2 linked regions of the Drosophila melanogaster genome follow. The protein of the gene in region 2 interacts with the protein of the main gene of each other region in a pairwise test. Each region holds a gene or a part of one and is shown on either strand. Other genes may lie near its edges.

Region 1 (3,880 bases), on a different chromosome or scaffold from region 2:
TTGCTGGCAATCAATTTTAACAAGCACCCAGTTTTCCGAGATCTGCTCGGCTTACTGGGCATCTTGCTCCTAATTGGTTGCCAGTTATAGAATACGTAAAACGTGCGACACAAATTCAAGTTCAATGGAATTCTACGGGAATTCTACCTTTCAGAGTGGAAATGAACTAAGGGAGAAGAAAATAGGAAACACAGAGATTTTCATTAGTGGAAAACCCACAGTGGAACTAAGAACCTTTCTAGAATTTCATTTAATTTGCAGTTCCGCAGATAGTTTTGGTTGCTCTTGCTCTCCCTTTCGCTCACTATTGCCGGCTCTTTCTGGGCCGTGTGAGTTGTGTAATTCGTGCAAGCGAGAGGGCGATAGAGTTTGTGATAGGGAGAGGGGGACAGAGAATAGGCCGCGCAAAAAAGTTGGCAGACTTATTTTTTCCCCCATTTTTGCACTCTAAAGTTCCTTATACTCCCACAGTTTTGTGCTTTTGTTTTTGTTTCGCTAGAATTTGTTCAATTTAATGTAACATGAAGGAGAAGGCACAAAAACCAGAAACAGGGCGGCGAACTTGGGGGTGGGCGTGAGAAACAGGCGGAAACACAACATGGAAAACTGAAAAGTTTGCGGTGACGCCGGAAAATTCCATCAAAACTGTGGGAAACAGCCTTAAAATGACTTTAAGGGTTTCCCAATTATTTGGAAGGCCCTGAAAAAATAAGGAAAATTGTTCAGATCACTAAAAGCTTGATAAACTAATATAAAATTTTTATTTGATTATGTTTTTATATGTATTTATGATTTATATATATCCTAAAGAACGTAGAAATTATTCAAAATACATGTATTATTTAATTTTGAACGATTTAATACTATGTAACACGCAAACGCAAGCAAATTAAATGAATTTTAAGCGATAAGGAATAACACCTTGATCAGTGTTGAAATTTAACAGAATATCAACAACGTACAACGGGCGGTCAGCGGTTAATTCTTCGCCATCGTCTTCCAGCTCTCCTGATCCTCCTAATCCTCCAGATCCCTCAGTTCCTCCAGATCCTCCAGATGCGTCAGGTACTCCAGATGCTGCGGCTGTTTCTGTTTCTCCAGATCCAGCAGACCTCTCCCCTGTTTCAGTATTTCCTGTTTGTTCAGTTCCTCCTGTTTTGTCCAATCCTTTGGTGTCGTCTGTGTCTCCTGATCCCTCGGCTCGTACAGTTTCTTCAGAACCCCCTGTTACTTCTTTCTTTGTACCGAAATCAGACATTATAAACTTATTCAAAACCTGCTTTTTCTGCGCCTGCATGGCACGCCACTCGTCGAGTGTATATTGTTCGGTCTCCTCCGATGAATCGTACTCGTAGACGAAACTCGATACCTTTGGTAACTTCATCCCTTCGAAGGTGCGCAAATTGGTCCTCTGACGCAAGTCGATCTCCTGCTGGATGGATCCCCAGTTGTGGGCCCCGGCTCCATTGCGTTTTTCCACCGCCTTTACGCCAGTGCGTTTCGATCCGGAACGGCGATCAAAGAGTCGGTCACCAGGACGATTGCGTCTGGTTTTGCAAAGTTTGTTTTTCGGTACTGTAACGAATACTGACTCTACTTCCTTCTCAAGAGGATCTGCCACCTTGATGTCCTTCACCCGTTCCTTTTTGGGTGCAGTCAATGGAGTGGTCAAAGTAATCTTGTTCTCCACCTTTGGCTGAAATAGACGTGCTGCCTTCTGTGGTTTCTGCGACATCTTGGGAACGGCCACCATTGATGACTTCTTCTGTGACTTCTTCATCTTGGGATCCTTGGTGAGGGCTACGAGTGGTACGTTCATACTGTCGTCGAAGGTGCAACGATTGTTAAAGCTCGAATTTAAGTAAAAATCAGATATATAATTTATTATATAATCGGAGCTCTGAAGGCGAGCGAGTTTGGAGCTGAACTGAATGAGAAACGGAATGAGCCTGGCAGCTGATCGACTGGGCAACTAAGTTTTCCCAAAAACGGTTTAAGATTGACTCAGCAAATATAAGCCAGAAGTTACAGTTGCTCAGTTTTTGTTTGATAAGTTTGATAAGATCATAATATATATTCATATAACTCAATTAATATATGCTTTGCATATGTTTAATGGAGGCTTTTGAAATGCATTATGTTATGTACTTCTTGTGCATTGGTACATAAATACTGAGTTGATATATATGGACATCATAATTTTTTCAAATTCCAATAAAAGGCTACTCAAGGAATTTCGTTATAAAATATTTGTATTTTTCATAACATTCAATTACGTGTCTCTAGTGTTCGCAACCCCTCATTTATTTCGAAAAGTTATATATATGATTGCCATGGAGTTGCTAGGATATTCATTTAAGCGTTCAGTTACCAGCGCAATTTTCCGGCATTATTATTTATAACTTTATACGCTCGCCGAGTGCTTCGTTCTACCCACTCCGTTCATTTCATTTGGCTTCCCGTTCCTGTGGCTCCCTTGTGTCTCTGTGGAGTGGCCAAAAGTCCAGTGGCCAAGAGTCCAGTGGTCGAGGGGTCGGTCCATGGTCTTGGCCATCAAGTTCTGTGTTTTGTCATAAGTCATGTGTCTGCTCGTCCTCGTTGTGTGTTGCTTCTGTTTTTCCAGCACAAAGTTGTGTACTTATGAAAATTAGTTTCTGCTCTGCTCTGCTACTATTTTTCATAATTAAAGTGCAAATAAAAAACTAAGCTGGCGAACAAACAATTGCAATTAACTCTTGTTGTTGCTGTGGCCCCCCTGTTGATGTAGTTATTCGCATTTATTTGCGAGATTCGTGTTTTTCTACCGCCCCATTTTTGCTCTCGTTTTTTTTTTTTATGTATATATTCGCCTCTGCCGCTGCTGTGCAAAAACATAATTCACTTTTTATTATCTCATATTTTATAGAAAGTTCCAGGAAAATATGGGTGGGTGTATATCAGCCATATATATATATATATATATATATGTGCATGCACATATACACGCATATACACTGGGGTGTATACATAATGCAGGGGCTGTAAGCCTCTCTGTGTGTCGTTTAATTCATTTAGTTTATGCTTTTAGCGCTTTATTTGCTTAACTGCAGTTTGCATGTGTGCTTAAGTGTGCGTGTGTGCGTATGTGTGCGTGAGCATAATTGCAGCACACACGCACATATACAGATGCACTGGATTTTGCAATTACTCCGCTTGACAAACAGCGGCAGCAACAAGAACAACAACAACAGCAAGGAGTCGCAGCAGAACAGTGAAATTAATCAAAATATGAACAATTCGAGCCGCTACCCTGAAAAACCGCTCGGAAAATACCCACTCCACTCGTGGCAGTGGAAAACCGCAGATGCTGCCATTGACAACGCATCGCTGCATTTCACATTTCACATTTTGCATTTCGCATTCCGGGGCATCCTTTCGCCTGTTTGCCAAATATCAGCAAATTTTGCGTTTAAGCCAAGTGCAAACATTTTAGCAAACGGCGAGCAAACAACAAAAGACGGCAGGCACAGCCGCCTTTCCATTCCATTCAATCGATTGCCCCTAATGAAAGCCACTCAACAGTCGCTCGAACAACAAAATCAGCAGCCAAAATCAACAGCACACGACATTTTCCAAGTATTTGGGCATTTAGTGTGCATTTTGTTTTAATTAAAAATTAAGCCGCAATGTGGAATTCGAGCGGCAGTTGCTTGTTGTTCGGTTTCGAAACTCCAAACATTTAGTTTGAATCAAAATAATAGAAGCCTCGCTTTGGCTTTTCATATGCCAATTTACAATCATATATTAATTTTAACAAATATTTTCAATAAAGTTAAATTGTTTTGGTTTCAATTCAAAATTAGTCCACAATGAGAAATTCGAGCGGAAGAAACTTGCTTTG
Region 2 (7,828 bases):
GTAACGTGCACGTTTACTACGAGAACCGCAAGGTGGGCTGTGTCCACAAGGTGGACGAGGAGAAGCAGCTGGCCGAGATAATCGCCGAAAAGGGGTTTTTCGTTTCCGGTGGCGCTCTGCTCTTCTATGTGGTGCACAAGGATTCGCGAGTGGAACAGGAGTTTATAAACGAACGGCGACGACCCATGGTTTACAGTTAAGACAGTGAGCAAATAAAGTGATTCCTTCTTGAAAACAAACAAACACCTTTTCATTTGCTTGTAAAGTTTACTTCATTTTTGTGGCATATTTTATTTGTAAGCTTATGGTTTAGTCACGGTACAGTTCAGCATTGGTTATGCTATCTTGAAGCATTTTATTGTAAGTTTAACTAATCTCTGATATGTTATGCGAAGCCGAAAAGCGTAGTTCAGGCTACGCCGCCAAAAAATATCTGATGCGGCGTAAGCCCATTTTGGTAGACGATTAATCATCTGTAGAATTGAAAATTGTTTAGCTAAATTTAGTTTTTCTTTAACAACAAGGCGCCTAAATGAGTCAACAATGTGGTTTTTGGTTTAATACGTATAAAAGCGTTTTTGTAAATTTTCATAATTGAGCATATTCTTAGACATTCATCGTTGGTTCACAACAGTAGTAATACTAGGGGACCCCCCAAGTGGATCCGGATATGGTTCGTTAAAATACATTTGACAAAGCAGGATGACCATACATATAAGGCTTAATACTAAGTGCATCGTGGGAAAGCGTATTATATACTCGGATAACATAATAATCAACTTGTCGAACTAATCAGATCACATTCACAAGAAACTACAACATAAATAGCGAAATGGTTAAAAAGCAGTTTGTGTCCACAGCGAAGTGTTAAACATGGTTACGGAAAACGGAGAATCCATTTTAGTGCTGCGGCGAAGGTGGATTTCTCTGGAGGACACTATTGAGTCTCATCTTCAGCGGCGAAAAGTCAATTTTCTTGAAGCGTGGTAGGGAGGCGAACTTTTTCATGGTGCCTCCCTCGGGCTGCAACTCATTGGACGTGGCCACAGACTGAATCATGGGTTCCAGACGCGCTGGTGCGGGCAACGCCTTGCTGGGCGAATGCCCGATTTTGGCCAGCGTCGCATACTTTTGCAAAAGACGACTAGCCTTTTCCGCCGCTTGAAAGCGATCCTCGTACTCCTTCTCCAGATTTGGCTGTACAAAGCATTCGTTCGCTACGGGAAGAGCAGATGCTTTCGCCTTGCAGGAATCCTCAGATGCTTGGCTATCATCAAACTTAAAGTCAATGTTCTTCAAAACGGTCAAGTGCAGCAGTTCGTCATCCACGCCTTCATTGTTATTGTTATTGTTGCTTTGGTGGGTATTGTTGCTATTGGTGCTGTTCGGACGCTTTACCGGATGGGTGACTGCATAAACACTGTCAGAAATTTTGTGGGCGGCAGTCTTTTTGGTTGAGCTTTTAGTCTTGGCTGATACTGATGCTGATGAGATGGTGGCCGCCTTGTGACGCTGCTCAATGATTTGCTGGGGCGAGGAAATGTAGAGGTTCTCCTTTCGTTCACGTCGCAACTTGGAACTGACTAAGTGCCTAAAACTAGGTCCATGTTCGGTGGGACTGCGTCGCTTTGACTTGAGTGTGTCGCAGCTGTTCGGATAATAGGAGGGTATCTTGTCGTCCACACTGATAATCGACTTTCTTGGTGTCTGGTAGTAGTTTTCCTCCTCTGGCTTCTGTTGCAAAGTTTTGTCCTTGGGCGTTCCCTTTTGCGGCAAGGCCGGCGCCAGGGGAGATTCGGTGGGTGTGCTTGTGCTCAGTCCAAAGCCGACAGGCTGCGCCTCCAGCTCCTGTGCGGCCTTCACAGCCAAAAGGTTCTCGTAGAGGTGTTCCGCAAATCCAGCTGCAGCCGCTCCGACGGTACTGTTCAGAGAGGTTCCATGCATGACTTCGTATATGTCACTCTCATTGGCGATCTGCGTCTTGGTGGGCTGGTCCTCCGTGTTACAGCTGCTGGTGGAGGAGCAGTAGGAGCCCGTGGAATATCCGGAGGATGTGGACACTGTACTGCCGCCTGGCTGTGGTGGCAAATCTTTTACCGTCGCCTTTAAAATGGGTGCCATTACACAGTATCCCGTAAGGTCTTCGTGCAGTATCTTATTTTTCTTTAGCTGATTACTCTGCGGAACAGCTCCATGCGATCCAATGAGATTGATGGTTGACGTGTTACAAGCGGAAAAGTTGAAGTTGTACGGAAGTTGCTCCGAAACATTCAGACTTTCCAAAGAGTCTGCTTTGCCCAATTGGCTAGATATTTGCGCAATAATCTCATTGCGAGAGATCGGCTCAATGACCGACTCATCCAGACTAATGTTTATCTCCATGCTCGACTCATGGTTCTGGGCCTCGAAGTATTCTCCAAAGGTGTCCAGCAGATTGAGTTTGGACAAGTCCGGACTTGAGAAGCTATTACGCTGAGACTTGTTCAACTGGGATGTGCGCTTTACCGGAAGCACAGGCTCCGGCGTGGGGGCATTCTCATACAGTGGCAGGACCTCATCGCTGGGTTCATTGGCCACCTCGCTGGTGCTGCCGGAACGCTTTTGACGTGAACTCCCGAACAGGTTGTCCAGCATGTTCTTGTATTTCTTCTTCTTGGCCAGCTCCGATTCGGGATTGGTGCTGGACCGCGCAATCTCGCCAAGCTGGGCGCACTCAAAAGTGTTTATTCGCTGACGGTAAGGATGTGCGGGCAGCGGTGGCGGTGAAGGAGTCTCCATGACTGACGGCTTCATCTCTTCGTAAATGCCGGATGCGATTGAGACGCGGGAGATGCGGCTGCCGTCAAAAATCTCCTCGTATATTTGCGAGACTCGCGGAGAGAGAGCGCTAGCGTCGAGGGTTTCCGGCAGGTTAGGCAGTGGGCCCAGACCTCCGGGACCCCTGCTCAGCCGGCGCTGTTCTAGAAAGACCTGGCGATAAAGTTCCAGATTCTTAATCGACTTCCGCATCCATTTCATGTGACGTCGGCAGGATGTCTCCGTTTCCAGGGCGAAATAGATGAAGCAGTCCCGCCGATTTTGCGTCCAAAACAGCCCGTACGAGTGCTGCTTCGTGCGCGAGGTAGCCAGGCTCAAGCTGACGCCCGGAACGTTTACGGAGACGCTAATGGGTTTAGCGGGGTGACACTCTTGGGAGTGAGACTCGGTCTCCATGGCCTGGAAACTGAGCCGCAGGAAGCAGGGCACACACTTAATGGCCTCTATTTTCACTTGGCAGCGGGTCCATGTCTTGTAACGCAGCGCCACTGGTCGCTTATCGTGTGTATCCAGCTTGGCGTCCATAGTCATGGAGATTTCGTTGTGGTCCATCTTGGGGCTACTGCTACGTGGTGGGGCGGATGGAGGTGCGGTGAATGAGTTGCGAGTGAAAAATAAAAAAGTAAACGATCTATATCCGCTACTTCGAGAATTACATCTTTTTTGCGACTGGGTGGAGCTCTTATCGGCTATTCTCTTATCGCACGTTTATCCTTCGTGTCCTCGTGACGTGACTGGCGTTGCCACCTGGCGGAATATCACAGAAATCGCGTTTCTAGAAGACCAACAAATGAATTTATAACTTCAATATACATCAATCAAACTTAAGGTGCTCAGCCTAAGCTACACAGCTCTTTTAAGTTCTTTATTTATACTTTTAAATGCTAAATGCTTACATGTTATTTGGACATCTTGAGTACTAGCTTAATAAGAAGGTAGTATCCAAGCAATTCTTATTTATAATCTCTTAACTAATTTACACAATCTTTTAAATTATTTTCAAGATCCATAACCAGGTCTAAAACCAAACAAATAAAAACTAAAATCCTATTTATACTTCGCTTTATAGCTATTTTAATATTTATTATTAAAAAACGCTAATGATGTTTTCAAAAATGTTAGGCATTTCCTTTTAGTATTTAAAATTCTACATCCGACATTGGGGTATATTTGACTTCTACTTGGCTGAGTATGAATTATGATTTGCAAAAGAAGTAAAAATTTAACTTTAAAATTAGGTATCTGTCTAACTGTTTTTGTCGTTTAAAACACAGGGTAGGTATGGTTTTCTTTCAATTTAAAAACATCGCTAGAAAACTGTTTCCAAAAAGTAAGCTGCATTTTTTGTTTTTAGTTTTGCTTTATACAGAAATTTTAATACTATACTTTTTTGATAAGCATCCACCAGCAAGAATACAGCAAGCTTTTATTTAATATTTTATTAACATAATTATTTAATATGAATGATTGGTAATATTTTGAAGTACTCTACTACATAGCAGTCGTAGGATTTGTTATTTTTCACATTATTTTTGTAGGTTTGTAATTATATTTTAAGGGATATCTTAATTTTACATTCCTAAAATAATTTGGTAACTTTTTGCGATAGTCGTGACACGAAATCGAGGGATGAAATTGCATGTGATGCAGCCCCTTGAGCAAACAGTGTTGGACAACAGCGCGCGGCATCGGCATTTTTTGGCGGCCATTACAACGAATGGAAAACTGTGAAGCGTTGCGCACAAATTAATGCATAAACAACAGACAAGCAAGTAGCACACGCTCTGCCGCCTGACAACCAAACCCACCGAAAGCACAATACACATCTCCGAAGATGTCTTCGAGCGCTGCCAGGGTCTACATCCAAGTCGAGACAGAGGCCGAGCAGAAGGAGCACCTGAAGCAGCAGAGACAGACCCTGAAACCCTTGCAGGGCAACGTAAACGATAAGGAGAACCTCACTGGTTCAGGGCGCGCCTCCATCGTGGATCAGCTGAGTCGTCTGAAGGCCGGCGTCCAAGTCGCGCCCAAGTACGGCAAGCGCAAATGCGTGGACACGGCGCCCGCGATTTCCACAAAGGATGCGGATACCCAGACTGATGCTGAGGCCGTTCCGCTTGGCAATGCTGACAAGCCCATCACGGCAGAGGATCTCACTAGCACAGCCGAACCCGGCGAGAACTACTACAAGCTGCTGGCCGAGCAGCGGCGACTGGCGCTGGAGGACTCGCTCACCGAAAACCGCCATCTGCACGAGCGCATCGAGGGGCTTGAGGAGGAGATGGACACTATGCGCCAGGAACTGGACGAGGCCAAGAATTTGGTGGAGGTCCTGAAGGAGATCTGCGAAGAGGACAACAGCGAGGTGGAGGAGGACGACACTACGGGTGACGAGGACAAGGTCAACGCCTAGGCTACACACCAATCACACGTTTTTTTTAGTCTAAGGTTTTACATTTAGTTGTAGTTAAATATCGCGTTTATATCCCTGTTCGTCGTCAGCCAACACAACGGCTGGTCTAATTGTACGCCAGCAATATATTTACTTGTTACACGCCAGTTATAATCCTAATAAAGTTTTACATTTGCACAATTGCACACAATATTTAATTCGTATTCCTGTATTTTATGTGCAACTTATATAAACCATTTCGCATCCATATGCTAGTTTAGATATGCTCTTTTCCTTTCATTAATTCTACATCAAAACAAATGTGTTTATTAGCTTACATCAATGCGGATGGATTTCAATGTGTGGGGAGCTAACGCAAAAATAAAATACTCAAGGTACAACATATTTTTGAGACAAATATTTATTGGATGTAAAACTGTGAACTGCTACTTAAGCCAATCTGTAATAACTTCCTCGCTGTGGAAGTTATCCACGTCAAACTGCAATAAAGGAAGAGAAAAAGGTAAGTTTGGGAAGAGATACAAAGAACTAGTAACTCACCACAACGCACTCTTCGTAGGTGGGTACGGTGCCCACGATGTCTACATCGTTTACCACAGCGTTTATGTAAGCGGCATCTGCCTCGGCTGCCGCTATCAACACCGCAGTCTCGGAATCATCGGTCTCAGCGACGTGTGCAGCATCAGTTGAGGTGGCGGGATTCTCCTGCTCCTCCACCAAACCGTGAGCCGACTTCATGTGCAGGCGCAGGGCGAAGAGACGTGCGTACTCAGCTCCACAAGTATTACAATAGAACTTCCCAGCTGCCTGGCTCTTCGAGGTGGCCGCACTCTTAATGTTCGGCGTACCAGAGCCGACACTTCCTTTGCTGCTGATCTCCTTATGGGTCTGCATGTGATTCTTGACGGCGTACATCGAAGAAAATGGGCGATTGCACACGGCACACCGGTAAGGCTTGGTGTGGGTGTTTTTGTGGGCGTACAGCTGCACGGAGGTCCGAAAAGTCTTGGGGCACGCATCGCATGAAAACTGTCGTTCGGAGCTGTGGATGCGCAGGTGGTGGGAGTACACTTGGTGCGATTTAAAGCTAAAATAATAAGTTATTTAAAACTGTAATTCTATGAAACTTGATTTTACCCACCGCTTGTTGCACACCGTGCACACATACGGCCGAATGTTGGTGTGGGTACGCAGATGAAGGGTCAGGGAATATGACACCCGAAATGTCTTGCCGCAGACCTCGCAGGCGTAAGGCTTTTCTCCGGTGTGGACCCGTTCGTGCTTGACTTTTTCAAAGGGGCGGGTGAACACCCTCTCGCAGTACTGGCAGGGAAACCCGGGTTTCTCCTTATCGAGACTAGTACGCTGGGCTAATTTACGGGAGGACTCGGAGTCGCGCGGTTTCTCATGGATTTTTTGGTGCATCTGATAGGTAACTTCGTTCTCAAACTTCCGGTTGCAAATGCTGCACATAATCTCACTAGATTCCTGTTGGTGCATCTGTTTGTGTACCGTCAGGAGGGTTTCATCGAAGCTGGTAAATAAGGAAATGATTCGTGGTATTTCTTTCTATTGCAGATATAAGCATACCTTTTGTTGCATATTTCGCAGTAGAACTGGTCCAGCTCGCTGTACTGCTGATGGGCGCCTATAGGAAGGGCGTCCTGAATGCTCTTGGGAGCTCGATTCTCATGAATGCGCATGTGGAATTTGAGAAACTTCTCCGAGCTAAAAACGGTGTTGCAGATTCCGCAGCTAATAACGGATGATGCGTCTCTCGGACCCGTCCTTGCACTGACACTGGCCAACTTTCGCCGGACGGGTGCTTTCGCATCGCCATCTTGTTGGCTGGACCCGCCGGATTCCGCCCGCGGACATATGTGCTCCTCAGCTTTATTTCGGTTCTCGAAAATGCTGTGGCAGTCGTAACAGAAGTAGCGATCGGAATTGCTAGGCTCGTTTTGGTCCTTCTCCGCCTTCACGTTGGCCGGAACTTCCTCCACCAGCTCCCAGAGGGGTACGTCTGCGTAGACAATGTCCTCTTCCCCGACCTCTTCCGAAATGCAATCTTCGGCGACCTCCTCGATGAAATCCAATTCCCCGCTAGCGCCGGTGCAGCAGCCGGCCTGCGGACCGTGGGCCCTGTCGTAAGACTCGGTGTCCTCGTATACATTGCCGCAGCTCTCGCAGTAGAGGAATTCCTGCTGCAAGGCGCCTCCGGATAAGTCTCCATCCTCCACGTGGAGGTTCGGGGTAGTCTCCTCGGCCTGGTTGGACGCTGCAAGTGCATGTTACTCGACGTTCATACCCACGGAATCAGTGCACTTACATGACATGGCATAATTTGCTCCAATCTTTATTTACAACAAATAATAATGGGCAGATCCACAGCAATAATAACAAATGGTTTTTGGAAATCGAAGCGTTGCCACAGGGCTGGGTAAGTATTTGCGTTTTAGCTGGGTGGCAAGGCTAACAATCAAAATTTAAAATGTTAATAACATTTATTTTAAAGACTAGAACATTGAACCAGTAATTACAAAATTATAAAAACTTTTGTCAGCAAAGTTAACTTTTATATTTTTTGTTTAACTGAGA

What was found. The genes of interacting proteins can lie anywhere in the genome.
Region 1: the proteins of geminin (region 2) and PPYR1 interact in a two-hybrid assay, tested with the Drosophila melanogaster proteins (one large-scale study listed by BioGRID).

What each region holds. Positions count from the first base shown.
Region 1 is NC_004354.4:15,243,019-15,246,898, forward strand, and holds PPYR1 (protein phosphatase Y regulator 1), read right to left. Parts: upstream 1,896-3,880; 5' UTR 1,820-1,895; coding exon 890-1,819; 3' UTR 841-889; downstream 1-840.
Region 2 is NT_033778.4:6,653,053-6,660,880, reverse strand, and holds geminin (geminin), read left to right. Parts: upstream 1-4,286; 5' UTR 4,287-4,355; intron 4,356-4,426; 5' UTR 4,427-4,651; coding exon 4,652-5,230; 3' UTR 5,231-5,418; downstream 5,419-7,828. Other genes in the region: Dpit47 (DNA polymerase interacting tpr containing protein of 47kD), read left to right, coding at 1-200; sced (scrambled), read right to left, coding at 901-3,369; Opbp (Optix-binding protein), read right to left, coding at 5,656-5,709, 5,771-6,317, 6,372-6,764, 6,821-7,508, 7,560-7,566.